Lonchura striata: one gene and its partners. The protein of the gene in region 2 interacts with the protein of the main gene of each other region in a biochemical or structural test. Links are inferred from orthologs where the notes say so. Each region holds a gene or a part of one and is shown on either strand. Other genes may lie near its edges.

Region 1 (10,341 bases), on a different chromosome or scaffold from region 2:
ACAGCCACTGCACTTTGTGCAAACCTTGGTTGGGCGTCACCTCTGCCCCTCTGGGGACAGCCTGGCCACTGCTGCTCTCTGTGGGGACAGGGATGGCCACAGACTGCATCTGTCCCTCCTCAGTGCATGTGCCCAAGGAGCAATTTCACACGTGTGTTACAAAGTGCTGGCTCAACCCCCATTTGCATGTGCCACTAACATTCCAAAAACTGGTGGGTATTGAGGGGTGGGGTCAGCAAAGGTGAGGGCTGTGTCTGGGGCAAAATCTCCCAGGCTGTGTCCATACAGTGCCCTTGTCACCCTCCAGTGCACACCAGAGGAGCATGGGCAGTCTGCTGCTACCTGCAGTGTCACCTCTGTGCTAGGGAAGGGAAAACACAGGGCTAGATTAGCAAACATGACCCCCCCTTAATGAGTCACCTCAGTCCAGACTTTTGGGGTCAGAAAACCCATCACAGGTTAATGAATAAACCCATGTTTGTCCTCTTTCCTGAGCTACAAGTCCACTGGAGCCTTGAATCCAACATGTGGGATGGCACCTGGGTACCACAAACTGCTTTATTCAAAGTGCTGCTCCAGCAGAGCAGTGCACTGAGCACAGCCAACACACAGCCAGATTCACAGGGCTGAAGGTCTCCTGTGGCATCTTGCATTTTACACCTACTCCATCCCAACCACCTAAATCAGCCCACTCCTGATGACCTAGGATCTCCTTTATTCCGCCGTGATTCACACAATGGAAAATGTAAACCTTAGGGCTGCTTGAGCTATTCTTGCCCAGACCATTTCCTGCTGAAGCCAGGGGAATTTCTGCCTTGCAGGGTTAAAGACCTGCTGACCTCATCCCACGGGGCCAACACACCATCAGCACTTTCACAGAGCTCCTGCTATTTCATCCCTCTGAAAGGGACTTTGCAACTCTGTGGTCAGCACAAGTAACTCCATTTTCTGCCCGGTGGATGGAAACCACTGCCTGTGCTGCAACTCCCTACCTTTGGAAACCACGGGGTGTGCACTTGTTTAGTATCCCAGGGCTTTCATCTAAGGTTGTGCCACTTCTTTCCCTGTGCAGCTACGCAGCTAAATTCAAGAAGACACACGCTGCCATTAAACAAGGCTGGAGAAAAGCCCCGCACGGCGTCACCTTGTTTAACCAGAGCCAAAGGCTGACATGGGCACATCCCTGGTGAGGATTTACAGGCAGAACAGGCAGAGCTGTGCTCAGCAGGAGGCTGGCTTGCCCGCAGCTGCCTGCCATGCCTGGGGAAGCTGCAGCTCCTGCAGCCGCAGCGCTGCCGCCGCAGCAGGGCTGCAGGGCAGCCTCTCCTCCCTCGGCAAGGCAGGGCTGCCAGGCACAGCCTTTGAAATAATAATCAGCCACTGATACAAAGCTAGCTCGTGCAAGATGCTGTCTGCTTTCTGCCATCCTTTTTTTTTTTTTGTCAGAGTATTTATTTTAAATAACTGAAGAGGGCACTTTCAGCCTGATTGTGACTAAAGGATCTCTGACATGAACGGGGTTTGCCTTGCTGGGAGGCTTGGCAATTATTCAGGTAATACAGAGCTGGCAATATCTCTTTATGTTTAGCAGGGAAAATGAGCAGGGAAGTAGGAAAGCAAAGTTGCAGGGATGCTGGAGAGAAGCCATGCAAAATATTAATACTCAAACAGCAGTGAGATCCTGAACAAAGAGCAAATAATGGTAAAAAAAAAAATATCCAAACATACCAACACTGGTTATCTTTTGGGAGACAAGGTCTTGTAGTAAAGCCTCAATTGCAGGATTATGCCTGGAATACAGCTCATACCGATTAATGCCAATGTGGAATTTTAACCAGTTTGGGTAGGAGTCTATGGAGGTTTCTCCAGTTGGCAAAAATTCTTCATGATGATCTTCATTTTGCCTACCACCAAAAACAATACAACAAAAACCCAAAGTTGAGGAGAAAGAAATAATGTTACAGTTTGTAGCACACATCAAGAAATAGGGCTTCAAAATGTGACAACTTGGAGAGGCAAGGCGCTACAGAAGGGAGAGAGGTCCCAGGTTCCTCCCTGCACCAGGAGCCTTGTCTCACTTGGGGCCAGGGGGAGATGGATTCCCACTTCCCCTCATCCTGCCTGACTTATCACCCATGAAAGTCAGGAGCAAAACTCAGAGGGGCATCACTGAGCGTTGGCACAGGCCCTTCTATAGCACAAACACAGAGCTCAAGTTTTAACTTGTGTTTAGGTCCCATTATGCTGCACACAGCTTCTGCAAGTCTGGTTCAAATAACAGCATTGTCCTGAACCTTTATTTAACAGGGACATGAGGCAGGAAACCAAGAGTGCAGCAGAACCTGAGCTGTGGTGCCCAGTCCCTCCTCCTCCTTAAAGAGGGAGAATGAGAGAAACTGCATCACTCTGAAGTGGCAGTCAGAGGAATTGGCTGGTCGTACCCCTTCCCGAGCAGTAGGAACCTACCACAGCAAAGAATTATTTAAAATGATCACTACCTTCTGAATTTCACTTTAGTTCTGTGAACCTTGGCTGCAGCCACTAAGGAAAATATGTACAACAGGCAGCTGCACTGTGAATATCAGTGTTGATTTCACTCTTCGCCTACTGAACAGACTAACCCATATCTTTGATCCAGAGTTCTCTGTGTTTACAGTCATCTCCAGATGTTCAGGCATTTGTGACTTTTTTTATTTTTCCTTCTTCTTTCAGAGAGCCCAAAACTTTCCAGGTTATTTCCCTTCACAGTCAGTTAGGATTATTAGATGGAACGGGCCTGGACAATTCACATGCTCATAGGGTGGAAATCAGAATTATTTATCCTCTCTTTCTAAAGGTTTAGATCATGCTGGCTGCTCTGCAGCTTGACAGAGCTTTTGCACGGTACAATGCAGCTGTTTAAACATTACAATGTCACTGTGTTTGGAAGAGGGTGCTGTTGTATTAGACAACCCTTTTGATTTTTCAGTCATTGAATTTCTCAGCATTTCTTAGGAGCCAACAGGGCATACGATTCACAGAGGCAACTGACTGCTTTGAAGGCTGGAGAGCAGCGGAGGTGCAGGGCACTGGGAATTAATTGAGGATGAAAAATGTAGCACAGATCAGATCCTGAAAGCGGAAATACCTGCCAGGATGAATGCCTTTGTGGCACTAGAGCCTGCTTTTGAGAAGGGTTAATGTATTACTGTCTGGCCTCACTGCTCAGCCCCTTCAGCTCTGGGAAGGTGCTGGAGAGGAAGGCTCGCTGTGAGCTCACCCTCTTCCTCACACCGTTCTGGCAGCATCAGCCTCGGCTGCAGCTGGAGATGGGGCAGACCGACCCCTTGGCCTCAGCGCTCCAGCCTTCCCCTACTCCCGTGTTTATTCTGCATTTCGGGGCATTCATTTCCCGAAGGAACACGGCCGGGCGAGCCTGCGAACGGTTGCTCTTTTTCCCGGTGACCCCGAAACGCTCCGTTCAACCTTCCACCCCAAAGCCCTCGTTCCCCTCCGAAGGGCAGCGACCCGGGGGACGCGCCACATCCCCACCACCCCCCCGTCCCACTCACCACTCGGGCTGCTCGGCCGCCCGCGGGTTGAACCTGATGTCGCTGTTGACATTGAAGAGGAGGTCGCGGTCGGCCAGCGGGGGCAGGGCGGCGCGGTACAGCGGGTGCTGGAAGAGCGCGGCCAGCGGGGCGGCGTTGCCGGCGGGGGGCGGCGGGCGCGGCGCCCCGGGGCCGATCAAGCGCCGCGCCCGCCCCGCCGCCGCCGCCGCGCCCCCGCCGCCCGCTCCGCCGCCCGCTCCGCCGCCCGCCGCCCGCTCCGCCGCCTCCCGCGACTGCGACGAGAGGTTGGAGGCCGGCTCGGCGCTGAAGTCCTGCAGGATCCGCAGCGTGTGCTTGCCGGGCCAGCGCGGCGCGGCGGCGCGGGGCGGCGCGGCGGCGGGCGGCGGGCAGGAGCAGCCCGGCCGGCCCTCGGGGCCGCGGCGCTCCAGGCGCGGCAGCAGGTCGATCATGATGTGCATGGTGCAGGCGACGAGGAACACCATCAGGATCAGCACCCGGAACTTGCGGACCAGGAGCATTTTCATGGCCGGGGCGGCTGATGAATTAGCGGGGGAGGGGGAGGGAGGGGAGGCGGCGGACAGAGCCCGGGCGGGCGCGGGGCTGCCGGGCCCCCCCCGGGACTCCGGCGTGCTCCTCTCGGGTCGGCAAGCGAGCGATCAAGTCAATAAAGTTACCTCCATAGGCGCCGGGAAATAAACAGGCTAAACCCGATAGGTCCTCATGTCTCAGTATCATCAAGAACTTGGGAGGGGAGAGGGAAAAAAAAATAAAAGGGAAAAAAAAAATTAAAAAAAAAAAAAAAAGAGCTCCGGACCGAGCCTTTAAAATCAACAGGAAAACAATGCCAGCGGCATGGTAATATAGAAAGCCATCTGTTCACGATTTCTCCCTCTTTTTATTACAGGGATCACGACAAACAGGGAAAACTGGCTCTCGGAGAGAAACCGGCATCAGACACAGGCGCTGATTAAATAAAATGTAAAAAAAAAATATGGGGAGGAGGAAGGGGAAAATAAAAAATATTAAGAAAACCTGTACGGAAAGGCGACAGAAGAAAAAAAATCATCCATAATATTTGGTTGTGCTGGAAACGCTGACTCCTTTCCCTTGGATTTGAGCAGTGATGCAGCAGAAGCGCTCCCCGCTCGCTCTTGCTCCCTCTCTTCTCTCAGACTCTTTAAGAACATTGGCTGGAAAATCATTTTCTTAGAGCAGTTCCAGTTTCTTCATCCATCACGTCCAGTGCTTGGGAGAGATTAGTAAGTTCAACTGAGATCGAGTCTGGGTGGCTGCTGTATCCGAGCTGGGCTTGTGCTTTGGCTTGTGTTGGTTTTTTTTGGCTGCAAAACTGTCTGATGGCACAACTGCAACATAAAGGTTAAATATGGTACAGAAAAAAAAAAAAAAAAGGAGGGGGGAGAAGGAAGGATTAGAGGAAAGAAACTAATATAAATCAGTAGAGGTTCTTTTTAGCGAAGAGGTCTTTGATCTCTGCTGGGTCTTACAGATCTTTCTTTTAAAGAGAGCGAGAATGGAAGAGAGAAGGGGGGAGAGAAGGAAAAGGGGGGAGAGATCTTTGGCAGGTGCAGAGTGAAAACCTCTTTCAGCTACACTGAATTCTGGAGACTGGTTGGACTAGTAGCTCTGCAGCTCCAGCTTTCAGTGGGTGTGTTAAATATTATGAGCGAGCCATGATTCCTGCCTTCCTCACGTCATAGTTAGGAGATTGGCTAAATAAACGCTACAGTGATAGTAACAGGAAAACCTCAACCAAAAGAGGGTTTTTTTCCCTCCTCTCCTCCCTCCTTCCCACCCCCGCCCCCCCCTTCTTTTCATTCTACTGCAGCTCCAACTGGGGCAAGGAGAGGGCGTCTGTTCCACAAAGGTTTGGGGAAAAAAAATATATATATATATAAAGGGGGAAAAAAAGCGAAGCGGCAGAGGAGAGAGGGATCTGCGCTGGCGGCGGTGCCGGGCTGGGATCGGCGCTGCCGCTCCGGCACCGCCCGGGCTGGCGAGCGCGCATCGCCCGCTGAGCTCGCCCCGCGCCCGGCAGGCTCAGCCCGCTTCCCCCGGAGCAGCCGGCCTGTCTAACCCGAGATCCAGCCCCGCAGCTGCTGCCCGCTTCCCTGGCTGGTGGCCCAGTGGGCTAATGGAAGTGGCCATAGGGCTAGCACAGCCCGGAGAGTGCTGCTGGCAGCTAAGAGCGAGGGCACTCTGGAGGGAGGAACAAGCTGTTCCTGGTTCTTCAGGTGATCATGTCTGATTTCTGGGGAGCTCAGATGTCTGTCTTTGGACAGTGTTTCCCTGGATTCTGTGGTCCATAGTAGGTTGTTGAGTTGGGCTGTAGGAGGACTGAGAAAGATGGAGTGCTTACCCCAACCCACCACCACCTTTCCACAGAATCATCTCCCTTCTGAATATGGCAGTCCATTTTTCCCTGCATTAAACCACATCAAAGTATTTCCTCCACTCAAAAAGTCTTTCCTCACCCACCAGGCTCCATCCAGCACTGTTCCCTTACTGGCACTTCTGCAGATCCCAGTGCTTTGCACTCCTCTGAAGCACATCTGTGCAGTGTTACATTGTCACCAGGTTTTGCACAAGGGAAATCACTGACTTTCCAGCAGGAAAAAAACATTGATATACAAAAAAAAAAAAAAAAAAAAAAAAAAAAAAAAAAAAAAAAGAAGACCTAATAGTGCCATGATCCTATGGACTACTCTGCACCTTTGTGGAGAGACAAAATTTGTTGTCCTAGGGAGTAGGGAGACTTTGTAGTCCCAGGGTCCAGAGATACACCCTGATCCTTCAAGTACAGGTGCACTTAGTCACAGAAAAACATTTTGCTGCAGAGCCAGAAGCCAGGCTTTCTGTCTTTTCCCACTTTTTTTCACCAAGATCAGCTTGGACAAAGACTTTCTGGACAGCTGGCTTTGTGGCTGATGGAGGAGGGCAGCAGAAGCCAGCCAGGGGTGAGTGCAGGGTATGTGGTTCCCTGTGTATCACTTAAATTACACTTTACTGTGGCTTTTTAAGGAGTTCTGGTCGGAGCTGTTTGTAGCACTTCAAGTGGGGATAGATAATATAACACTTTATCTCCTTTAGCAAGGAACAGTACAATTTGTAGGTTGCACATTTTAGCTGCATTTTCTTAGTGTTGGCCCTACTAAAACTTAGGCCTATGGTGTTACATGAGGGTGAAACTGAACAGGTCTGCTGAGAAAGTTGAAAATTACTTAAATGAGTTCTTTAAGTTAAAGTTGTTTGAATTTACTTTACAGTAAAAGAACATTATGTCAAACGTTGTAACTCCATGTGTAAGAGCTGTACAATGAAAGGGAGACTGGCTTTGTAATATAATGCAAGCAACTAGATGTAGTTAATTAAAGGACTTTCAAGAGGTGAAAATGACAATACTCTGAACAAAAACTAATTCCTCTAGATGACATGTTTTTGTTTTTATCAGTGTGACCTTTAGTGTATGTTGGCTATTTAGTTAAATATGGTTTCATCTAAATTGTGTCTGCCTGTAAACTGAATCTCCCTGTTTTCTACAAGCTGTTTATTCCTTGAGTCTTTTCAACATTTGAATTTTATCTCAGGATGTGAGATTGGTAGATGTACTGTACTTTCTTCTGTAACTGGCCTTTGTGGACAAGTTTTGGCCAGACCAAAGTGCCCTCAGAAATGTGAATAAAAGATGAAAAGAGATCTGTCTTATGTCTCTGCATTTCTCAACCTCAGTATCTACAAATGCCTTTGGCCACTGGTTGGTCATCTGTGAAGTAAGATGCACTGGCCAGTTGGTGGACTCTGGCACAGAGTGAGCTTGTAGCTTTGCTTTGGACAATGGGAAATGCATAATTCCTTGTTTCCTGAGCCTTTCTTCCCCTGGCCCGAAGGCTGGTAATGATCAGCGCCAGCAGTGTGTTACAGCACCTCTGTGCCTCTAAGCTGAGATTGGTGAAGCCAAGGGAATGAAGGCAGAGCTCAGCTGGCTCTCCCCAAAGCCCTGTGGGTTCCCCCTGCAGCCCATCCCACCAGGAGGATGTCAGCCCACCTCTTTTCTTACACACCTTTCCCAGGAGCAGCTGCAAGAACACAGCCCTGCTCTTGTCCCGGAGTCACTGTGCCCTCTCACCTCCCTAAATCATGTTTGGGAACACAAAATTGCTGCCAGTCTCACACTGGCATTCCTGCTGGTGGCCCCGTGGGGCTGGCAGAGAGCCTGGTGCTCTGGCCAGGGAGGTGGGAACGGAAGGAGCTGCTGCGTTGGGAGGGCTCAGGTGGCTTGTGAGGAAGCCTCAGATTGTTGGTGTGTGAAACCACTGGGAGAAGCCAGGAGCTGGGCTGCAGGTCAGGATAGCCTGGAAATTGGGTGGCGGGTGGCAGGCAGACTCAGGGACCAGGTCTGAGGTATTCCAGGGCTAGTGCAGCTCCCCAGGACAACCTCATTGCTAGCCCATGGCAAGTGTGGGCTTGGTGCCAGAGAGTTTGTGCTTGTGCTGGGATCTGGGGCTTGTGTGATCCAGCCCTGCTAGGGAAGGGTTCCCTTTTTCTGCTGCAAGGGAAGAAATGGGGATTTCTGTCCAGCCAGCTCAGCCCTACATTCCTGTCCATGTACTGTGAGGCCCTGGCCCCTTCCCTTCCAGTGCAATGTTTGCATGCAAGTTACCTCCTCTGGCTTCAAATATTTGCCTTCAAGTCTTGATAAAACCCCCAAAATTTTTGGTGACTGCTGATTATTGTTCAAACAGGCTTTTAAGTACCAAACTCGTGTGCATAGAGCCACAGGGTCTTTGCAATCATGCCTGATCTGGCCAACTCTTAGTTAGAAGATAGCTGTTTATTTAATTTTGCAAGTTAACTTGGTCATAGTAAGGAATATTTAAATATTTCTCCTTAACTAAACTCTACACCTTCATGTGGAATTCCAATATGTGGCAAAGAACTTTCTATTTCTGCTGTGCTGTGTGTTGGACCAGTATTACCCCTGTAATTGCTGGCATTATGTAAACAAGAAAATAATAAGTTCCTAATGGAATATTATTACATCAATAAGTCATTGCATACAGCTCATTTCAATAATATAAATGAAATCAAGTCATTTACATCAACTCTTTATTTTATTTTTGGTCATTGAATTGAAATCTTTCCTCTCTTTTATTGAAGTACTTGAATGTTATTGGGAATTTCACTTTGAATTGCTGCAATCACAAGCCAGGATTGCTTCGGATCTAACAGGCTTCTTAATTTGGTATTACAAATTGGCATTCAGCACTTCTTTGCATGTTCTACCTTTGCTTTTATTGAATAATACAGTCAAGAATTCAGGAGGGCTTACTGTCGTATGTCCTGGCATTTCTTCATTGTTTTGTGCAAGAATTAATACCTTATCTGCTGCTGAAATCTGTGTAGATATTTATTTTCCCCATTTTTGTCTGCCTACCTGGCTGAGCAGCAACAATGGTCAGTGTACGTGATAGTGTATTCAGGTAAATAAATGAAGCATGGTTTTGGGTGAGTAAACATACCCAGCTATTATTTTCTGCTATAACAGTTTACAGCCTTCTGATGTAAAGCCTGAATGCAGCAGGGCAAGCTGTAAGTCAGGCCTGATTGCACACTTTGAATCAGTGTAATATTTTTATTGTTACTTCTAATGGCAAAATGGATTTTCTTTTAGCTGAGAGCCTCTGTCTATGATGCTGCAAGTCCTGGGGGCATCACATGCCTTACCTGGCCCCTGTGGCCTTCCTGCCCAGGTCTTCCTGCTCTCCCTCTCCTTCCTCCCTCAGAAGATTCATGTGCTGACCTAATTTATTGGTGCTTTGCCTTATAAACACAGATTACACTGGCACTCTGATGGGTACTGCATATTAACCTCCCACACTGCCAAAATCACTTTTATTGCTAAGGAATACACTTGGTACTGAACGGGAGGTGATTCCATAAGCTTGATTTCCCTGTCAGCTTTTTCTGTGTATGAAGAATCAGCAACACACATTTCAAGTGGTGTGTTGATATTTTTTCAACAATGCATACTAATCCCTTTTGGATTCCCTGCCTTCTGGACCAGGGTTTTGTTACATATTTGGTTGTTTTGGGTTTTTTTTAATGAATCTTGAGCAAACCTCCACTCTCAAATCACAGAGGCTGTGTAGTCACCTGCTCCTTCCCATGGTGGCTTTGCCAAGGTTGCCTGAAGGGGCACTGAGCTGCAAGCTGGAGCTCAATAGAGCTGAAAGGAGAGACTGGTCCTGTCAGATCATCAGGGCAAGGGGGGCTCTGTGTGAAATGCATCACCAGCCTCAACTGATTTCAGAAAGCCAAAGCTTCCAGCTCCAGCCTTTTGCTTATGAATGCTACCATTCTTTAATTTGGGATACAATATTCTGGATGAATTAAACCCCCAGGGATTTCTGGATCAACCTGCTGAAAGCACTGAGCTGGTTGTTCTAACAGGAGGTTTTTTCCCTGCCTGTTTGTTACTCCTCAGCTGTTGCTGCTGCAGAGCAAGGGCTGGCTCCTCAGCTGGTATCAGCTGGCCCTGGTTTCAATGAAATGCCATCTAATTATATCAGCTGAGGATCTGGGCCACAATGCTTAATTCTTCCCCTGTTTGGAACAAAGAGCTTCCTGGCCCTGCCAGAACAAAATTCTTGTTGTGCTGGAGTGATGGGGTTGGGCCTGTGGAGGGATCACATTTGCTGCAGGCATTCAAGTGGAGTAGTGATCTTGCATGTAGCTGCATTACAGAGGAGCTGAGAAATTACCTTCCTGAGTG
Region 2 (10,599 bases):
CGCCTACTTCATCGGGGGTGACGCCGGGGATGCCTTTGATGGATATAATTTTGGGGATGACCCAAGTGATAAATCCTACACCTACCACAATGGCATGAGGTTCAGCACCCATGATAATGACAATGACAACTACGAAGGCAACTGTGCTGAGCAAGATGGATCTGGGTGGTGGATGAATAGATGCCATGCTGGCCACCTCAATGGCAAATATTATATAGGTAAGGTGTCTTCTAAGTGCTTGTAGTCCAGGACACCACATTTCAGTGACAAAGGAAAATGAGTCACATTTATAGACTACAGTTTGCCTTCTAGATTTCCCAAAGCTGGCATAGCGCATTCTTTGCAATAATTGCTAACACCAGTAGTTGGAATTTATGACTGCTCTCCATTCCAAAGTGGGATAATCAGTCCTATTTTTGAGAGAAACAAAGCAGGGGGAGAAAGGTGATGAACAGGGTCTGTTAGGACACCCAGGGATGCCATGGAGGTGTCAGGACCAGAAAATGTATGGGCACAGTAACTATTTTAGAAAGCATCCAACTGTTTTGCTCCAACTGGTGTTTCTTAGGTGGTGTGTACACATCAGAAGATGCTGGTCCATCTGGATTTGACAATGGCATTATCTGGGCAACCTGGCGTGACCGGTGGTACTCCATGAAGAAATCTGCAATGAAAATCATCCCATTCAACAGACTGTCAGTAGATGGACAGCAGCACAACTTAGACAATATCAAACAGGTTCGACCACAGGGCCAAGGAGATATTTAAAATGAACACAGAACATTGTAATAATTTTAAACACTGTGTATGGGCAGCTGAAGTTAAACCCACTGCATCTTAGAGAAGTTGGCTTTGTTTACCATTTTGTCACAGAAGTATTAGTACTTTAATTTTAGTGCACCTTCTACATTACTATATCTTTTAATGGATAGGTAAATGGATAGTCTCATGATCAGGAATAATCCCTTGCCTTTGTATATTTTAAATGCTTCATTTTTAATTCCCAACTAATACAACTATGTATGAACACTATCAATGTGTCATCATAGCCTTATATACTTCTTTCATTAGAAGAACATTAAAATACTCTTTTTTTTTCTGTTTTAGGTTGGAGACGTATAAAGGATGGTTTGAAAAAGACCAGTTGGAACAAGAAAAGCAAATCTTTTTCTTAGACACTGAACTTAGCAAACATTACACGGTTCAGTTTTGACTATAAAGCAACATTGACTGTAAGGCCCAAAACTCTTCCCTGAGCAGTGCATACCTCTGTAGATGGTTGGTTTTTTTGGTTTTTTTTCTGTACACATTCTCAATAAATTTTTGATTATTACAAAAAAAGTCTGAGTTTGTTATCTGTGGTCTATAGCCGGCCAAAAAAAAAAAACGAAACCTTTGATAGTTGGATCAAACCTACTTGACTCAGTCATTCATGAATTTCACACCATCAGTTCCTGCTCTTTGTTTAGAGGCATGTGTTCAACCTATTTCTTCATAAATGTGACTAGTATCCATATGTTTTCAAGTCTTCTAATAAAGTTGTTTGGTGACAAAGATCAAAATACATAGCAACTTGAAATAGCCTATTTTACTGCTGAAGACTATTTTACTTAGCTTACTACAAAGTAATGAATACGTTTTCAGTTGGGATGTGCTAAGTAGTATTAGTGATCAAGAACGGGTATTTTACTCCAGACCATACATATTAAGTTTCTCAAATTTTACAAGGAATAAGTTTCATTTGCTATATGACACATAATCGTACAGTGTACAGCTATTATTCCCAACTACTCTTCTTTTTTTTCACAAATATTTAAAAATTACTTCAACATATTCAGTGCCATTCAACCAAAAAATGTTAAAATTTGCATCAGAAATTGATTGCACATTACTTTCTTTCTCTGGATCTGATAATAATTCCCCATGTGATTCACATAAGCAAATCTGCATCACAGATCATGGCCAGCAAAGTTTGCAATGTTGTCTGAATGTACCTCCTCAAAATCTGATGAGTGCATTTGAGGGGTGTGCTAGCAAACCAAATTAGGTTGGTGGATAAACTGCTCAACAGATGATATATCCAGAGCCAGAAACCATCACTACCTCAAGCTGATGCATTAAGAAGTGAAATAGGAAGTGTGTCCCAGTCTTTATTTTTAGCTGCCTATGAAAGACCAGAGGTTTGCCTGGTATTCTCTAAACAGCAAATTCAAGTGCTTTATTTTAGAGACAGGAGGACATTGCAGTGATAGAAGAGACCTCACAGTCAGTTAGTACTGCCTCAACAGTTTTCCAGTTTTGATGCCCAGATGTCTGGTGAGGCTGGTGCTGAGCATCTTCCTTGGATCTGATAATAAGCTGCCAAGTCCCTTTCATTTTTATTAAGATTTTGATATAGTTGAATTTTTACTCTTGGGCCAAAATCTAAGAGGAAGACAAGATTTCTCAGGAGAGAAGAAGGCATCATTAGCTAGGGTCAGATGAGGTTAACAATGGATTGAGAGATGACCCCTCCACACCACTGAACTGATATATTTGCACAACTCTGTTCACCCATGCAACCAGCCATGATGCACAGCTCACTGCCAGCCTTGACACTCAATTCTTCTCCAAGCAAAGTAGCTTTCCTGAACATTTTGTGCTGTAAGGCCTCTCCTGTGCCTCCATGGAGCTGAAGCAGTATGTGTAGAGAGGCTGGAGGGAAGGATGAAAGGGAAGGGTTGGCAAGCCCAGTCTACTCCTTCTGCAAACAGCCACTTGAGTAGCATTGGTTGAGTCCCTTCCACTTTCTCTTTCCAATTTATGCCACCTATGACATGACTTTAAGTTGATGTTATTTATATATTTGCAACATGGATTTAAAAAATTATTCCTTTTACTTCTGTCACTTTGATATCTGCATTTATACTCTGCTAGATCAGAATTGTTATTGACATTCCTGGTTTAGATTTTGGCTGCAATTTGATGGCAATCTGCTGTAATTACACACATTTCATGGATATGAACTGGCATTTTATGGATTGCTCATAATAACTAAGATTGGTTTATTCTTCCAGTTGGTTTGCTGATGGGTGTCTTTAAGTTTTCACAAATAATTTTAATTTCTGGAGAGGAGCATTTGCTCCAGTGGTCAGAAGGGTCAGAGTCAGTGAATGCAAGAAGCCTGATCTTCCAAAGAAATCCTATGCCAGAGTTAATCAGGGAGTCTGCAGGATCCCAATCCACTGTTGTGTTCTCTGGGCCCTGAAAGAAATCTGTCAATCTGTGCTTCTGGAAAGCTCTGTGCTATGGTATGCAATACCCTATCTATCAGAAAGAAGACAGAAAAGACATGTTTCTTCTAATAGAATAATACTCTCAGTATTATTTTTTGCAAGCAAGTACATTGCAATTGAACTTACTGCCCCAATTTTGTATACTGAGAGCTGAGCATATTTCTCTTTTCTAAATAATTTTTTATCATACGTGACCCTCAGACTGTAGCCTATAGTAAAAGTTATCTGTATTTAGAAAAGTCTGTACCTCTCACTTTATAAAAAGTTTATTAAAGGATTTGGTGGACTTTGTTTCACACCTTGAGCTTGCAGTGACTCTTCCAAAGACCACTGTAGCACAAAACAGAGGAATCTCACTCCAAGGGCAAGGGGGAAAAAAAGTGAATGAGGAAGAGGTAGAGGAAGAAAGAATCAAATAAAGTGGATGTAGAATTTCTGGGATGTTGCATTGGGAAAATGTGGGACAAAGTGCTGGGACGGACAAGTAATGACTTCAAAAGGGTTAGGTAGTCTGAGGAGCATATGAAGAGAAAGTGAAGATGAGAGCTGAGTCTGAAGGAGAATGAAGTCTAAGACAAAGCACCAATAGACAGGTCATGAATGGGCAGGCAGGAGGAGCAGAAGGCACCACGTGGAAGCTGGTGGTAAGGCAGGAGACACAGAGAGTGCTGGGCAAACAAGGTGAGGCACACAAACCACCTCTAAATCCCAGACTCCCCAACTGTTACTGTGGCATTTAGCCAAGAGCAGGGCAGATTTAGTAGTGAACTGCCCTTCTGTCCTTTGATCCTGAATTAAAGTTAAATCCAAAGTTTATCTAGCTCTTGGCCTCCAGCCTTTCAAACAAACACTGGCAGAAGTGACTGAATGATTGCAGCATGAAAGCAGAGGTACAGGCTGAAGGTCAGTCACACAGACTCAGCCCCTGACTGTAAAGCCTGAGAAGCTCTTCCTTCACCCCAGCTTCCCGCAGCAGTTGCCTTTGCACCAAGCAGGAAACCCCTCTTAGCTTACCTAATGTTTATGATCAGATGTCAACTTCTTTCCAGTCCCTCTAGCCTTGGTGGCCAAGTTTTACTTGCACCAGCGTTAAGCTGACTGTGTTTGAGTGTCACCAGAGTGCTGTGCCATCCCTCAGGTCAGAAGTCTGGAACATGCTCTTTGACATGTCCCCTGTTACCCTGGTGACTGGTGCCTGGAACACTATCTAGCAAATTGTTACATCCTATGTTAGCATGGTTGAAAAGGCATAAATTCTTCTGGTTTATGTGCTCTTACTACTATTGTTTTTTAAGGCCTATTAAATTACAAATATAATATTATTATTTATGATCACAAAATCAAGCATCAACAAACTGGGAAAAGTTAGAACCCAAATGACATACACATCTGCAATGTGGATGCTTTAGCTGTTGCATAGACTGTAACACAGATAGCAGGACCGGATGGGGCACAGTGGTCCCTTACTTTTAGCTGATACCCTGCAGAATTTGGTGCTATTCCTGCCCTGATCACCCAGTTCCTGTGGGACCAGAGGCAAGATGCTCATGTGTCTCAGAGCTGGCTGCCAGCTCTTCCCTCTGAGCCATGGTGCTGGCACAGAGAGGCAGCTGCCAGCAATGGGATCTGCACATTGGGTGTGCTCTGAAGACTTCAGATTATCAAAATGGATCCCAAAATTAATAGCTACTTTTTGACTTAACCTTCTCACCTGGTTTCTACAACTGTGAAAAGGAGAAAGTTATGGCCAGGGAATGAATGTAATGCACCATAGGAAAATCCTTCAAGCTTTAAGCAGTCTTCAGAGCATCATCTTACAATGAAAAAGAGTGTACAGCTCTGGGCAGATGTTTGCCTGTGAAGCACCATCCCCATGCTCAGTGTGAGGCAAAAGGGGTTCAGTGGAAGAAATGTCATATGTGATCCTGTGGTAAAGCACAGTCCATGACTGTATGTCCAAGGAGAACCCACAAAGGTTGCACCTGCAATTTTTGTGCTCCTGAGCATGGAGATCACAAGCTTGTGATTTTTCACTAGACTTTTGTGTCTATTGTAGAGTCAAAAATTGAATTTTTTTCCATTTGAGACAGAGATTCTCCATGGACCTCAGTATATTATGTTCAACACCAACATGCAGGCAAAGCAATGACTTCCTTTTTCAAATATCAGCTCTTTGTTTATGCAGTTAAATGCCCATCACACTGAGTATGTGTTTTCCAGCAGGTAAGCACTGCTGGATCCCACTAGTGCTGACATACATCTTGGTTGACTGTCAAATTACAAGAAATAGTTTTAGACAGACTTTTTTTTCCTGGAATTCTTGGTGTTGCCCGCATGTCAGCATTGAACAAACTTATCTGGAGCAAATAACACCAGAAACTTGTGCAAGAGGCCTTAAGTAATCACCAAAGGGGGAGGGGGGCATGTTTGTTTTTTCTACAAACAGAAGGGAACATAATGATTAATCTCAGCTTTTCATTCAGGTTTAAATTGCACCAAAAGAGTGGCAAAGAGCATCCTTTCAGTCAGAGTTCTTGCTCTTCTCCTGAAGATGGTACCTGTGAGGATCCTCTGTGCTCTCCTGTGCCTCAGCATAGCCTGGGTATGAATTTGCTTACTTGATTCTTTTTGTGTCTTTCTATTTTGAATAGTAAGCATTTATTTAATGTTCATTCATGAGATAGATAAATTTTGTCTATCACCTAGCTTGTAAAATTCAGTGCACACACATATGCAGCAGCTTACTGTAACCACTTCATTGATGAAGTTTCATCAGTACTTTTGGAGTATCCGGCCCTCTGTAGTTTTGCTTAACTTGGTTTTGCTGAATCTGCTAGGCTTCAGGAGCAGCAAAGCAAATCCCTTAACATGAATTCAAACATTCATTGGCGATGCTCTAAGTCTTAAACATAACTAGCTGGATGCTAGTGGCTCCAGCCATTCAGAAATTTTCATGTTTATTGGGATGAATTGTGCTTTCCTTTGGACATTATTTCAGCAGGATCTTCTACCTACAAATGACACACAATACCTTTATTATGAAAGACACATTTAAAAACAAGGATTCTTATACCAGCAACATCAGCTTAAACTACAACTAAGTAAGAATCAAATTATTGATAAGGAAGGAGATAAAATTGATTTTCACCTGTGCTAATATAACTTTTATTTTTTTCCCATTGAGGACTCAGTCCATAATCTTATGTTATATTCTTTACAATTTAGTTTGTGACTTTTTTAAAAAAAGAAAATGCTTGTTTTAACAAATGACAGAAATTATAGGAAGAAGTTGGGACAAAACAGAAGCAGTCATATGCCTAAAGGACATTTTTAGATATATGTGCTACTTTTAGGAGGCACTTGGGCCATTAATCAAATAATGAATGAATCAAACTACTGAATTTGAATCTGCTGATTTTAATTAAAACATTCCAGTTCCTCAGAGTAGTTCTGACCCTGGAGATTAGAATTAAGATCACTTTCTCAGCTTCAGAATTAATCACCAATCATAATAAGAAGTAGTCATTAATATTTTCAAGCATTCATTATAATGTTTAAAAAGCACAAAAGGTGCACAGAGGATTCCAGTCAGACCTAATTATATCTTAAACACAGCTTTCTTTAATGAAAAACAAAAATGGAAAAAAAAGTTATGGCTTTTACTAAGTGATAAGGAATCTTTATTGTGTTTCGGCCTGGAATTAGCTTGTATATCACTTTTTCTTCTCAGATTTGAAAACAACCTCAGCGTATTTATTTTTCTTCTTTCCACTAACACAGTGAAATAAATTCATCACTGAAATTGTTTTTTAAATTGTGTTAGTAGCTTTCTTGCACTTTTCGTCAGACAAAACCATGCTACAAGCTTCCAGTTAGCAATTGTGATTAAAATCAGAAACACTAGTGGAAAAACTCATATATCTGTAAGCTACCTTTGTGTAGACTGAACTTGGTAAAGTGACAATAAGAATTTTGCAGTATTGCAGCTAATGGGAATAGTATTTTTTAAGTATTTATTTTAATTTTCCAGTTTCAGGCTAATTTCAAGTTAATTTTATATTTCCACACAGAACAAACTGTTTCTGTGGAATGATATTATCATAAATATATCCTGAGCATCACTAGCTCACTACATAAAAGCATTAATTTTAAGAGATCATATCTTACAAGATGTCATAACTTACAAGAGATCATAACTTACAACTTATTAATATCATATCTTACAAGAAATGTTGGAATGAAATCCTTGCAGTGTCGGGTGTGATGCTTACTGGGTGGCTGTGATTGCCACCCACCAGCCGAGCGTGTGAGGACATCAGCATTGTGTTTCTGCTCCCTCAACAGCTGTTCACTGAGCCCTGGTTTTACTTCTTCCCTTTTTCCTCCTGGCAGGCACAAGATGGAGAGAGCACCTTTGAGCAGATAGGTGCAGGAATCCGTGGTCCCAGGATTGTGGAGCACAAGTCCCCGTCCAGCTGCCAGTCTGAGAAGAGCTGGCCCATCTGCGCGGATGACGACTGGGTGAGCGACTGACACTGGGGGGAAAGGGAGACTCATCCCTGGGGCACCCACGGGCCTCAGCTGGATCAGCAGCTGGATCAGCAGCTGGATCAGCAGCTGGATCAACAGCTGGATCAGCTGGATCACTACATCAGGTGCTACAGGCCAGCATGGGGTTAGGGCTGACGTAACACTTCAGGTCGGGGAAGCCTGCACACATCTCCCGTGGGAAACAAAGGAAGGGCAAAATGAAAACAAAAGAAACAGGGAGAAGTTGGCAGTGGTGCAGAATGAGAAGAGAAAGTAAGTCTGGGAAAAAAAGGATTAAATAAACAAAGGCTTACCCTAGAAAAACATAAGAATTGTTTCTTTTCAGAATTTTGGTATTCCCACTTTTGGAGTTCATAAAAGAAAGGCACCAGAAAGAGAATGGTGACAAAAAGAAAAGAAGTAGCTAGAAATCACATACACTCACTAGTTAATTTTTAGGAAGTCAGATTGCAAGATGCCCAGTAAATGTTTCAGAATAATTTCTTAGATGTCTTTGCATATAAACTACTAATTTCTCTCTTTCTTGCCTCTTGCATCTCAGTCCTTTTCTATGCTCCATTTATTTGATGACTTCTTAGCAAAGAGCTTAAGTCTGTCAGAACATTAAGCTTTTCTGAGGAAAACTTGGCATAAAAACTTGACTCTAACATCCTCCCTCAAACTGGATGACAGACTTTTTACAGCAGATCTTTAGGAAATATACATATATACAGAAAAATCTCACCCATGAGGAACAGAGGAGAGGGGAATCTATAGGTTTACTTGTTCCACACCCCATGGTTATGTCAGGTTTCTGATTATGTGCTTCACAGATTCCATTATACATGATGTTTATTCTTGAGGATTTTAGCACAATTATTCCCATCTTTCAATTCTAGGGTACCAAATGTCCATCAGGATGCAGAATGCAAGGACTGATTGATGAAAAGGACCAGGAGTTTAGTCACAGAATAGACAAAATCAAGAAACTGCTTTCAGATAATCAAAACAACTATAAGAAGTCCAATCAGATAATTGTGGAAACTGTAAATGCACTAAAACCAAACCTGGACAGTGCTCAGGGTGAGTATCTTGTGCTCAGTTTTACTATCCAGTACTGAATTACTATTTTTTTGTAAATAAGCCATACGTAGTGAAAGTAGGGGCTGCACTGGATATTATTATCAGAACAATCATATTAATAGACTCTTAACTAGTTATCAAAGCTTAATTTAATCTGCTCAGTACTATGAGAAATATGTTCTCAATGATGTGTTTAATTACATATTTTCAAATATGATACATATTTAGCAAAGAAAAGCACATGGGCATAGCTGACTGTGAGATATTTTTTTTCAGAGCTTGATGAGACTTATGGTCGCCTGTCAGGAGAACTGAGACGGAGAATTATGACATTAAAGCAGCGAGTTGTCACTCAAGTGAACAGAATTAAAGCTCTGCAGAGCAGCATCCAGGAACAAGTGGTGGAGATGAAGCGCTTAGAGGTAGGTGTCTGCTATGCACTTCCTATTCTTTCCAGGGCTTCGCTACAGAAAGGGGATTGGTCCATTATGGTGAGCAGTGCTCCAGCTGGGAGAAAACATGTTACAACTCTCACAAGACCTGACTTGCTGAGACAAATCCCCAAATTGCTTTCTATCCATCCTGGTTTTCTCTGTAGGACCCAGCGTGAGTTCCGTGAGTTCCTAGTCCCGTCTCTCTTAGGCCACAAGGATGCTCCATCTGCTGATAATTGTTTCTATATGAAGCACTTTTCCTGGAAGGAGTTGCTGAGTAGTTAGAAAAGGGATGGGCTCTGTCCATCCCCAGTGCTGCCACTGCTGCCCACAGCTAGGGCTGGCATTAGAACCTGCGTTCCCAGGCTGCAGCCAGTTCTTCTGATGGAAAGGAAAAGTCATGGCACAAACAGTGGTTTTGCTCAAAGGCTCATTTTGCTTCCTAGAACAGAAATCTACCATTTGGATCATTTGAGAAAGCAATGGTAACCCCAAGATGTCAGACCTCAGCAGGGCCATGAGAGAGTCTTCCCCTCTCTTTGGAGGACCCATTTCTGCCCCAGTCCCCATGGACGCCCCAGTCCCTATGGACCATGTCCAACTCTGCAGCACTCCTTCAAAAACCATGAAGACACCTCTAAACTCCAAAAATAAAGGTAGCAGAGATTGGGAACCTTCTACAATGTTCTTTTCCATGGAACTCACATGCATGGTGCTATTGCACATGTTGTATTTACAATGGAAATAAGGTTATGATGACATCAAAATGGTACTTTGGAAAAGCTCAGCTGTAGGTGGGAGGTACTAGGGCAGCTCTCATCTTTCCCCTGTTCAGTAGAAGATATCCTTGCTTGAGAAAGTTGGGAAAGCTCCCTAACCAAATTACTTCTTTTTGGTTGTGTAGGTGGACATTGATATTAAGATACGAGCTTGCAAAGGAACCTGTGCTAGAAGTTTTGATTACAAGGTGGACAAAGAAAGCTATGACAACATCCAGAAGCAGCTTGCCCAAGCCAACTCCATCAACTTGCACCCAGAGCTTCAAACAACCACCTTGAGCACACTGAAAATGAGGCCACTTAAGGACTCTAATGTTCCTGATCATTTTAAGCATAAGCCTCTGCCAGAAATGCAAGCTCTGAACATAATTAATGACATCAAGCAGATGGAAGTGGTATTAGAAAGACCAGAAACAGACACAAAACCTTCCCGAGGTGACAGCTCATATCACACAGCAGAAGCAAGGGGGGATGAATCTTCATACCCCAGCAAATTAG
Region 3 (10,517 bases), on a different chromosome or scaffold from region 2:
ATCTTTGTTGTTATCTGTGGAAAAGGCTTGAAGTTCTTACAACTGCAAGAAACAGAATTCTGGTAGCTAAGGCGTTTGTTTTCAAGAAAAGCTTTGTTCAGTGAAACTACTTAGATCACAGCTGAGCTGCCTTGTTAGAATTCCTGCCTGGGAAGCACAGTAAAGAACTGTTGAGACCTTATTTCTGAGGTACCTGCTAAGATGCCCCAAAACAAGACAACATAAGGGGTATTTTTGTTTGTTTTGGGTTTTTTTTTTTGTCTGGGAGGACAGCTGGCCTAACTGATATCTTGGAAGAAGTCCTACGTACCTGAAACCAGCAGGTAGTTTAAACTTAAAAATGTCTTTTTAATACTTTCTTTGCCTGGAAGACTGACATGAGGAGTCTCTATTTAAAAAAGCACCTGCATGGCTTAATCAAGTTCAACTCATATATTCATCTGTACAAGTAGGTTCTAGCCATACACAGCAAGTGTTTATACTGCAAAATGCTGTAGATAGTCTCTCTAAAGTGGTTTTACATTAGATGTCACATCCTGTCTTCCACTGATTTCTGTTGCCCCTGTTCAGGCTATCTTAGCTTATAGCGCTGCAGCATTTCCCCCACCTCTTCCTGTCCATCCACTGATAGCTGCTGTCCCACTATGCATGGAAAACTGGTAACAGATGTTGCCATACATTTATTTTCAGTTTTGGGAAAGGTACAACTTAGGCCAGTCAACTGGAATGAAAAGCCGTCAAATTGAAATAATTTGACTGTTTGAAAAGTATGCTTACAAGGCTCCAAGCAGAAACCGGCAAGCAGTGTGCATCTGGTAGGCCTCTCAAAAATACTAGACCAATAAGTCAAAGACCTAGATGTGATGTTCTGACATTTTGATTCTACACTTTCAAATACATTAGGATAGAACACTATATTATACCTTAAATTTGTCTCTTTTTGCTGAAGCATCGTCAACAGGAACACTTAAAATCCCACATATTAACCTATTATTACTAACAGCCTAAGCAGTAATAATGTAAGCATTATCTTACCTATGTGGAATAAGACCTAAAAAAGAGCTGTCACTTATCAAATGTGAACAAAAAGGCATGTCAGCCCTTTCCCTGGAAAGCTTCAGCTTTCTTGAAACAACTGAAAGTTAGCATCTTTACCTACGCTATGAATTATTTCAAAAGCAGGAAGGCAATAGTTCAGTTAGTTAACTATCATGGTACTTCATTTATTAAATTGGGATTTATTAAATAATAATATTTAATAGTATTTAATGACAATGCCATTGATGTTGAAAACAGGAAATGCCCTTTTTGAAACAGGTGCAGAGTAGTGCCTACCTTTTTGCTTTTTCTCTTCTGTAGTCTTGATGATTTTCTTTCCAGACCAGTCTGGGTTTGTGTTTCCTGTGTCTCTGCTCTGATCTCTCTGTCCTACTTGTAGCACCACTTGAGGGGGTGGAGCGTGCTGATGGAGCTGGGCCATGGGGCGTGCTGTCCGCATCCCACCCCTTCCCGAGCATCTAGGGGATGGTCCAAGCAGGCGGCTGGCATCCGGATTGTTGGGGAGGGAGCCCTGTGCAGGACGGGAGGAAAGCTACTTGCTGGAATGCTGCTGGATTTTACAGCCAGTTTGTTTTGTTCTTTCTCTTTTCCAGTCAGAGAGCAGATTTAGTTCTCAAAACAATCTCTTCCCCATTGAATACCTTATTGTTCAATGACAAAATAGTATGTATCCCTTACAACGAACTGTCCTGTCCCATTATACTTCTAGGAGTATGAATGAATGCACAGCTGTATTATTTATAATATAATCAGAAGTCTGCTGTATGTAGACTTAGTCCTAATAACAAGAAACTCCTGTTTCACACACAAGTGTAGTGTGCTGTGTTCCTAATGAAAATGTTTGGCAGATGTGAGAACCACAGCCTTGCTCTGGGGTCTCATATGGTGGTGAAATTCCTCCTCCAACCCGTGCTTCCAAAGAAAAACTCCACAGGCTTTAGCTGTTCAGTCTCAAGGCAGTTTATTGCTAGTTATCTAACAGATTATGTTCTTGGACTGCGGCTATTTGATCAGCGGCCTGGGTAGAGGCACACACACACCCTGACATCCTCTCTATCTGCTGTCTTCTTCGTCTCTCTCCCCGCCCAGGGCTGCTGCTATCTTTTATATGATATATTACGTATTACATGTTTATAGTTTTCCCCCAATACCTACTACCTATATTACAAAGTGCTTTTCTACTGTAAACCAATCTGTGACTGCCAACATGACCAAGAACATGGAGGCAAGGAAAAAGAAGGAGGAAGAACAGGATCAGCCCACTTTCCTCCATCTTAGAACTTCTGACCCCCATGTACAAAGTGAAAACCCCCCTGTATATGTGCTAAAACCCCCCTTTACAATACTAAAAAAAAATTCCCCTCTACTTTGTAATTACTTTTACTATACTATCTAACCTTTTGTGACTGCTTGTTCCACCTCCAAAGCTGGCAACTCACCCCATGGCCCCAACTCAAAGTTACAGCTGTTTTTCAGCTGTCTGCCAGGGTCTAGAATGCCTCTGACTAAGGCTTGGAACCTCTAAAAATGTTTGAGAGACATTTTGAGTTCCCACAGGCAGAGAGGCCTTGACCCAATTGTGGAGCAAAGCATGCCCTGAACAGAGCCACAGGAGAAGAAACAGGGGAGTTTTCAAGTTAAATGAGCAAAACTTCTTAGAACTTTAGATACAAATAAGGAACAGCATGTTGAGGGCCAGAGTTAAATGTTCACTGATATTACTCACCCTAGAAAATGAAGATCTACTTACCAGAATGTGGTCATGAGTATTCAGTTATCAAAGCGTGGCAGACAAATGTGATTAACTTAGGGCACTGTTATGAAAACAGTCATTGCTGCAATTGTTACAGTGATGAATGTGTCGTACCTGCTTGGAACTGATACACTAGCAATCAAGCTCCTGACAGAATCTAGTATAAGATGTAAGAACCAGTATGTGGAGTGAGTGACTTCTATTTTAAGAAGCAGGTGCATAGAGACCTCGTTTGGAAAACACAGCACTGGTTATTTTGCATAATGGTAAAGATGAAACACCCGTACTCTATCTGTGTGGAGATCTATGTCAAGATTATAAAATTTATTTCTCCAAGAGTCACAGTGCTAGTGATAACATTACTGCCATAAATCTGATGTGTAGCTGCATTTGACTGTTTCTGGAAGGGACTTCCAGTTGTTGAGATTGAACACTGCTGAGAGAGCAGGGGCTAATTTATTTTATTTTTTAAGATACTAGCCATTTGATTTCTAGATTAAGGATGCTAACAAACTGATGGCCATGGGGGAAGATTTCAGAAATTACTTCCTGGCTTTTCAGAGCTTAAGGACAACTATAATTGTCTACAGACTGTGGTGCCATTGTAGGGCTTAACATATTTTAGGAAAGCCAGCAATAAAGTGTCTGCTCTCTCAAGCACCACCTACTGGATTTTCTCTACGTTGATCCTTGGGATAATTTCAGCAGGACTATTTAATGGCAGTGACGAAGTGTGACAGCATGACATCCCACAGTAGGCCCATGTCACCTCGGCGGGACCCTCTCTGGCCGGTGGCTTTGGCAGGTCCAGCGCAGGCGACTGGAGTTGTGGCAGATCTTGGAGAGCAGTTTCCACCCCCGTACTGTTGTGCATCTTTGCAGTGGTATTAAAGCAACTCACGCCAGCCAGCCCAGAAGGAAGAAATAGCCAAACCCGATGTAAAGCCAGAATAGCGCTTTGGCTCGGGCGGTGCGGTGGGAAAAGCAAATGGTGCGTTCCGGATTGGCAGATCTTGGAGATGCTGCGGGCAGAAGACGGCAACTCTTTAATTTTACTTACACAGTCCACGAGCTGTTCTCGCCTCTCATCCCGAGCCCCTGACTCCACGCGGTATCGCGGCCACGGCGATCGCGACTCCGCCGTTCCTCGCCGGGGCGGCCCCGAGCGGGCCGAGCGCCGGCCCGGCGCGGCCCCTGGAAGGGCGGGCGCTGGCGCCGGAGCCGGAAGCGCAGGTCCCGCGGAGCGGAGCCGGGCCCGCCATGAGCCGCCCGCCCGCGCTGCAGGCGCTGACCTGCGGGCCCTGGGAGATGCGGGAGCGCCTCGGCACCGGCGGTTTCGGCAACGTCATCCGCTGGCACAACAAGGTAGGCGGTAGCCGGGCCCGCGGCGCCCCGGCTCCGGACCCGGTCTCAGCCCACCCTTACTATGTCCACAGGAAACCGGCGAGCAGGTGGCCATCAAGCAGTGCCGGCAGGAGCTGAGCCCGCGCAACCGCGACCGCTGGGCGCTGGAAATACAGATCATGAAGAGGTGAGGCGGGGCGGCGGTGTTCTCGGGCCGAGGCCGGTGCCCGCGTGGGCCGGGCCGGGCGGAGGGGTCGCTGCGCGGTGTCGCGTCGGTGCCCCGGGACGCGTGGCGGAGGCGGCCCTGGAGCGCGGATCTGACGGGTGCGCTGAGGGAAATGGTGGGAGAGGCTTTCGGCCGCTGGCCGCCAAGGGATCCCCTTCCGGGAGGTGCCCGGTCCGCTCGGCGGCAGGTGGGTGGAAGTTCACGCGTAAGAAAACTTCATACGGTGCTGCGTGAGACTCTTGGGTTTCACACTGCCGTCTTCGGCTCGTCTGCTGTGCCCTCAGCGCTACAACAACGCTGCTACCTAGCCGCTGCTTTGCTTGCCTTAACGTCTGTCCCTTGGGGTGTTGGATTAGCATTTTCGGGTGTAGTGGTCTGATTGCAGTTTGGGTCTTTTCTGGACGGTGGCAACAGACTGCCTTGCACTCCTTGCAAGAGTTGTTGCTGTACCTTCTAGACAGATCTGTAATGCATGTGTGTTGAAGAAACACACTGTCTTGCACGTGAAATGCTAGGAGTTTGAATGAGGCTAGATCCGTGAAATATGCAAACCTTCAGAATTCACTCATTTAATTTCTAAAAGGATTTGTGATCACTTTAGGTGATGACCAGGAGCATGTGAAATTGTATAGCAGTTGCAGAACATCATGCCTACTTGCCTAATTTTTGTTCCGCAGACTGAACCATCCCAATGTGGTGGCTGCCCGCGATGTCCCTGAAGGGATGCAGAAGCTCGCACCAAATGACTTGCCACTGTTGGCCATGGAGTACTGCCAAGGGGGAGACCTCCGCAAGGTGAGGTCCCTGGGGTGGTAACCAAGGAATGGGTCAGCTTCTAATCTTATCCTGGGTTTTCTGTTCTCTTAGAACCTTTGCTTTCACATCCTGAGGCTTCCTAATTCTATCATGGCATCACCAGTTGTTGGTGGATTGGTCCTTGATACTATGTTCAGCTTTTGAAGACTTAAGTGCTTTGTGAAACTCTTTTGGTTTTTTGGATGCAAGTGACACTGTGAGGAGTTTGCACATAAATAATGAGGGCAAGTGTAAGGGATGTGCAACAGAATATGAGTATGGCCAAGACCATTGTAGGGTAGGTGCATCTGTAGGCTGTACCCTTCCTTAAAGTGATTAACTCTTGTCTGTTGTAGGAAGAAATAACACATGATAGTTCTAATCCTAAGGCTTTTCTGACCTTTGCTGTAATCTGCCCATAGCTAAAACACAGACTTTAGGCCTCATATTGGAGTTGATATTGGCAGGCACAGGGGAAATGGCAAAGAGGGATGGAACAAACAGAAGGATTAGAATGGGATGACAGTGACTTTTCACCTACTCCTTTATTCTCCCATGCAATTAAGCTAAGGCTGATTTAATTATGAAGCTGTAATTGCTGCTGTCACAGGTCACACCCCATAGAATTTTGTGCTTCTGGAGAATTTAATTGCTGTTGCTGAAATTTCTTGTATCCCTGAGAATTTGCGGGACTGTGGGCTTCACTCAGGATAGAGGAAGGAAAGACTGCATTTTGTGTTGCTTACTTGCAGTACCTGAACCAGCTGGAGAATTGCTGTGGCTTGCGGGAAGAAGCTATTCTTATCTTGTTATCTGACATTGGTAAGTGGTAGCCTTCAGTTGTCTGAGCTATAGAAACCTTTTTAGTCCTGAATCAACTCTCCAAATATACAGCAGTGACCTTAGTGACTCAGTTTTAGACTGACCTTTTATGATCTTGATCATCTACCAAAAGTGTTGGGAGTCTGGGGAGGTCCTTGCCTACTGGAAGCTAGCCAGTGTTACTACAGTTTAAAGGAAGAATGTGGGGGAACATTCAGAGAGAGAACTCAGTTTGTGTCCAGAGTTCTATGATGCTAACTTTACACCTTACACTTAGTGTTTCATGGTATGTTTCATTGTACAAGGTTTGATGTGAAAGCCATAAATAGAACCGAGTCCTTACTGATCTTGTCTAGGTACTGTTACTTATGCTCTTAAAATTTCCTTTATGTGTGTCTCAGCTTCTGCTCTCAGATACCTTCATGAGAACAGGATCATCCACAGAGACTTGAAACCAGAGAACATTGTGCTGCAGCAAGGAGAACAAAGGGTAAGCAGGAAGCAGTTGTCTCTGCCTGCACAGACAAGTAAGCTTATAAGGAGCATGCATGTGCTTCATGCAGTTACATGGTCCCTCTGCAAGAGCACTCAGCCCAGGATAACACCTGTCTCAGGCCACTATGTCAGATGAATAGTATTCTGTGTGCAGCTAAGACATTGTATTAGACATCTGTTAACACCTGACATTTCGACTTTCAGCTATTAAGGAGAGAGCCACACTGTACTGATTGACCTAAGATTGGAAGGAACTAGACACATAACTGCTAAGTGTGCTATGACACCTTCAAATTCATTGTGGCTTAAGGAATCTACAGTAGCCTCCCATTTCTACTTCTGCCTCTTCACTAGCACCTTTCCTGTATAGCTTTGAAGAGCTGAACATTTTCTTTCTGCTGTATGATGTGCTTTTAACAGGATTTCGGTCTAGCACTCTTATTCTCTGTTGTGTGTTTCAGTTAATACACAAAATCATTGACCTTGGTTATGCTAAGGAGTTGGATCAGGGTAGCCTATGCACATCCTTTGTTGGGACTCTGCAGTACTTGGTAAGAAAGGAATTCAGGTATAAGAGCAGCTACTGCTTTCTAGTGGGGTAGAATTAATTGTTATCAAGTTTTGGGCTGGGATTAAGTACTTGCATGGTATGGGGTGTGTTTGTGGTGCTGAAGCAAGTGAAGGTGACTGTTTTTTGCTGACACTGGGTTTTCTGCTAGTTGCTTCTATTATGAATAAGCAGAAGTGCCAGTAACCAGGAATACTGCTCACTCCTAGAGGGAATTAAAGCATGTGAGAGGCAGCATTCAGTAATGTCTTTAATAATTTGTACAAATGTTAATGAGATGTTAAGGGATAGAGAAAGCTTAGAGCTGGGTGGCTTTTTCTCATGTGTGTAAACTGTACCAGGCTCCAGAGCTGCTGGAACAGCAGAAGTATACGGTGACAGTGGATTACTGGAGCTTTGGCACGCTTGCCTTTGAGTGCATTACAGGCTTCCGACCATTCCTACCCAACTGGCAGCCAGTGCAATGGTGAGTGAACTGTGGCTGGGTGATAAGTGGGCATGATGTGACTTTCCTGTAAACAGGAAGTATGGTGTCCCTTGATTCTGAGGATAATATCCCTATGTTCCTTGCCCTTATGGAAACTGACCCCTTTCACAGGAGTTTGACCCACCTGAGCAAGTTCAACATTCCTGATACTTGCTCTATGGGATAAGGGCTGACTCCTGCAAGGCAGATAACAGAAACCAAAGTGGCATCTGTATTATGTCTATCAAGAATAGCTTTAAGAGCCTACTAATTTACAGGATGGGAAAGGCAGGCAATTATTTCACCATTGTGCTTGCTTACATTAGGCATACAAAAGTCCGTCAGAAGAGTGAGCTGGATATTGTTGTTTCAGAGGACTTATCTGGAGAAGTCAAGTTTTCTAGCCGTCTGCCCTGCCCAAACAATCTGAACAGGTAAGTACTAGAAATTGCTGTGCTGAGATAAACTGATTCTTCTGCAAAAGGACCAAGATTATGTTATATGCTCTACTGTGTTAATCTGTGAATAAATTGAGTGCATGACACAGGCAGTACTATTATCACTTATCAGACTTGTATAGTCTTGGTTTCTGCCTTCAAAACACTACATTTGTGATAGAGAGAAGTGGGGGGGAGTTTTGTTAGTCCTCCCACACAGAACAGGCCATATGGTTATTGCAAATGCACTTTTACCTCTTCTGATCTCCTCCTGGTTTTTATTGCTCAGTGTTTTGTCTGGGAGGCTGGAGAAATGGCTGCAACTCATGTTAATGTGGCACCCACGTCAGAGAGGTACAGATCCTATGTATGGACCCAATGGGTGTTTCAAAGCTTTGGATGACATTTTGAACTTGAAGGTAAGCAGTAGGTCCATATTACCCCGAAAAGTTTTCTGGAGAGTAGTTGCCTGTATTCTGTGAGAGGAAAGGCTTGAATCATAGACTTAGGAGGAAGAGTGAGGCAGAAACTCGCAGAACTGTCTCCTGACAGCTAGTGACAGGTGCTTTTCTCTTGCTTCTTTGAGGACAAATACTCGCTGAGCTTATTAGGAGTAGTGAATAGCTTCCGTGAATGCTTAGTTCCATATTCTGATAGAGGATTCTACAGGTGAAGGTATTTAATTGCCATGTGGCCTCTCACTTGATGGAGGACAAGAACTTTGCCATAATGTTAGGAAGTAGCTGCAGAGTGAATTCTTGAGTCTGCTAAGTACTTTGAGAAGTTTTTTGGTGGTCATTGTCCCAGTCCCTTGATCTCTGCTCTAAGATGACCAATGTATCGTCAGCCTTTCTCATGCCATGCTACTCTTGTTGTAGTTGCTTCATGTTTTGAACATGGTTACGGGAACTGTGCACACCTACTCTTTGACAGAGGAAGAGACTTTGCAGAGTGTAAAGGCCAGGATTCAGTCAGATACAGGAATTCCAGAACAGGACCAGGAACTACTGCAGGAAGCAGGACTTGCATTGTTTTCTCAGAAGCTGGTCACTAAACATATAGCTGATAGCAAGGTGAGTCTGGATAGTCCTTTTCTTGCTTTTGAGTGAATCAGAAGACACTTCTCTCACTTTGGGATCACAGGACTTGCATGCTTTTGCCATGGTAACCTCACAGACCTGACAACCATTGTAGCATAGGTACCTATGCAGGTGCATAGGCACCCTGTTGCCTATGGTGTTCTTTGTTTAGCTGAGGAGGGCTGTTTTGTACAGTGTTACCAAGGCTTGCTTTTCCTGAGAAAACCTAGTTGGGTCTTTTGTCTTCTGCAGGTGAATGATACTGCAGCTGCAGACACAGACCTTCTCTTCCTCTTTGATAACAAGAAAGTTTCCTATGAGGCTCAGGTGGCCTTGCGTCCTCATCCAGAAAGTGTTGACTGCATCCGTAAGGACTTTCTCTGACATGAATGTGAAGGGCGGCGGTCTGTATTGAGAGCAGTGTCCATGTTCTGCAGTCTGTGTCATGTACAAAGAGTAGAGGGAGCTCTTACATCAAGAAGCAGTAAAACAGACTGTTATTAATTCAATTTATCAGAATAACTGAAAAAAGGAAGTGTTGGATTTTGGTATATTGGGGGAATTGCACAGGGGTTATCCAGCTCTAGGCTTTACAGGTGGTAACATACCCCTCAAAGGAGCAATGTTTTGGTCTGTTTTGTGATAACACAACTTTCTGGCTTCATGTTGATACATATGTTTCTCTTTTCCCCACCTCCTCTGTTTTCAGTTCAGGATCCAAAGAAGAATCTCCACTTTTTCCAGTTGCGGAAAGTGTGGGGTCAGATCTGGCACACAATCCGAATGCTGAAAGAGGACTGTAACCGGCTTCAGCAGGGGCAGCGAGCAGCCATGTACAGTGGCAGTTTCTCTAAAATACTTATGTCTGTCTTTGTGCTTTGGTGAAAGGGAAGACAGAAATGGGACCTTGTTGGAATGGGGAAGCCCATGATTATAAGCAATTAATGAAAAGCTGAGAGTTAACCCTTTGGCACAACTGCATTTGTCCTCACTGCTATCTCAAGTGTCTACTTTGGATGTAAGAGGAAGCCTGGTGGATTTTTATTTTTAGAGGCTAATCGGACCTTCTTGTCCATGCAGGATGAATCTGTTGCGTTACAATAGTACCCTCTCAAAGATGAAGAATTCAATGGCCTCCCTTTCTCAGCAGCTGAAAGCAAAGCTGGACTTCTTTAAAACAAGCATCCAAATTGATCTGGAAAAGTATAAAGAGCAGATTGAATTTGGAATTAGTGAGTATAGCATCTGGCAAACAGGTCTTTTCATGCCTTTTATCCTCACAAAAACACCTACCCCTTTCTCTGTGAACCTGAGAAAGCCAGTCACTCTTCTTTGATTCCTGTAGCTTCTGAGAAGCTGCTGTTTGCCTGGAAAGAGATGGAGCAAGCTGTGGAACTTTGTGGGCGGGTATGTTTCTAAATCTAACAGCTTATCATAAAGAAAAAGAGGCTTGTTTTTATTTTCTCTCCCCTA

What was found.
Region 1: of the proteins of FGA (region 2) and FAM20C, one has a biochemical effect on the other in vitro, tested with the Homo sapiens proteins (2 studies listed by IntAct). The link is inferred for Lonchura striata from reciprocal best matches to the Homo sapiens genes FGA and FAM20C.
Region 3: the proteins of FGA (region 2) and PLAT form a complex in vitro, tested with the Homo sapiens proteins (2 studies listed by BioGRID). The link is inferred for Lonchura striata from reciprocal best matches to the Homo sapiens genes FGA and PLAT.

The regions. Positions count from the first base shown.
Region 1 is NC_134618.1:11,867,431-11,877,771, reverse strand, and holds the start of FAM20C (extracellular serine/threonine protein kinase FAM20C), read right to left. Parts: upstream 4,114-10,341; 5' UTR 4,076-4,113; coding exon 3,552-4,075; intron 1,905-3,551; coding exon 1,729-1,904; intron 1-1,728. UniProt on the Homo sapiens protein: Golgi serine/threonine protein kinase that phosphorylates secretory pathway proteins within Ser-x-Glu/pSer motifs and plays a key role in biomineralization of bones and teeth.
Region 2 is NC_134606.1:42,247,986-42,258,584, forward strand, and holds the start of FGA (fibrinogen alpha chain), read left to right. Parts: upstream 1-5,758; 5' UTR 5,759-5,826; coding exon 5,827-5,877; intron 5,878-7,667; coding exon 7,668-7,796; intron 7,797-8,704; coding exon 8,705-8,888; intron 8,889-9,164; coding exon 9,165-9,310; intron 9,311-10,226; coding exon 10,227-10,599. Other genes in the region: FGG (fibrinogen gamma chain), read left to right, coding at 1-218, 569-738, 1,108-1,122. UniProt on the Homo sapiens protein: Cleaved by the protease thrombin to yield monomers which, together with fibrinogen beta (FGB) and fibrinogen gamma (FGG), polymerize to form an insoluble fibrin matrix. Fibrin has a major function in hemostasis as one of the primary components of blood clots.
Region 3 is NC_134634.1:4,930,115-4,940,631, forward strand, and holds the start of PLAT (tissue-type plasminogen activator), read right to left. Parts: upstream 4,006-10,517; 5' UTR 3,873-4,005; intron 1,571-3,872; exon of another isoform or gene 1,336-1,570; intron 1-1,335. Other genes in the region: IKBKB (inhibitor of nuclear factor kappa-B kinase subunit beta), read left to right, coding at 4,073-4,177, 4,249-4,343, 5,060-5,177, 5,930-5,999, 6,401-6,489, 6,956-7,045, 7,404-7,528, 7,855-7,962 and 6 more. UniProt on the Homo sapiens protein: Converts the abundant, but inactive, zymogen plasminogen to plasmin by hydrolyzing a single Arg-Val bond in plasminogen.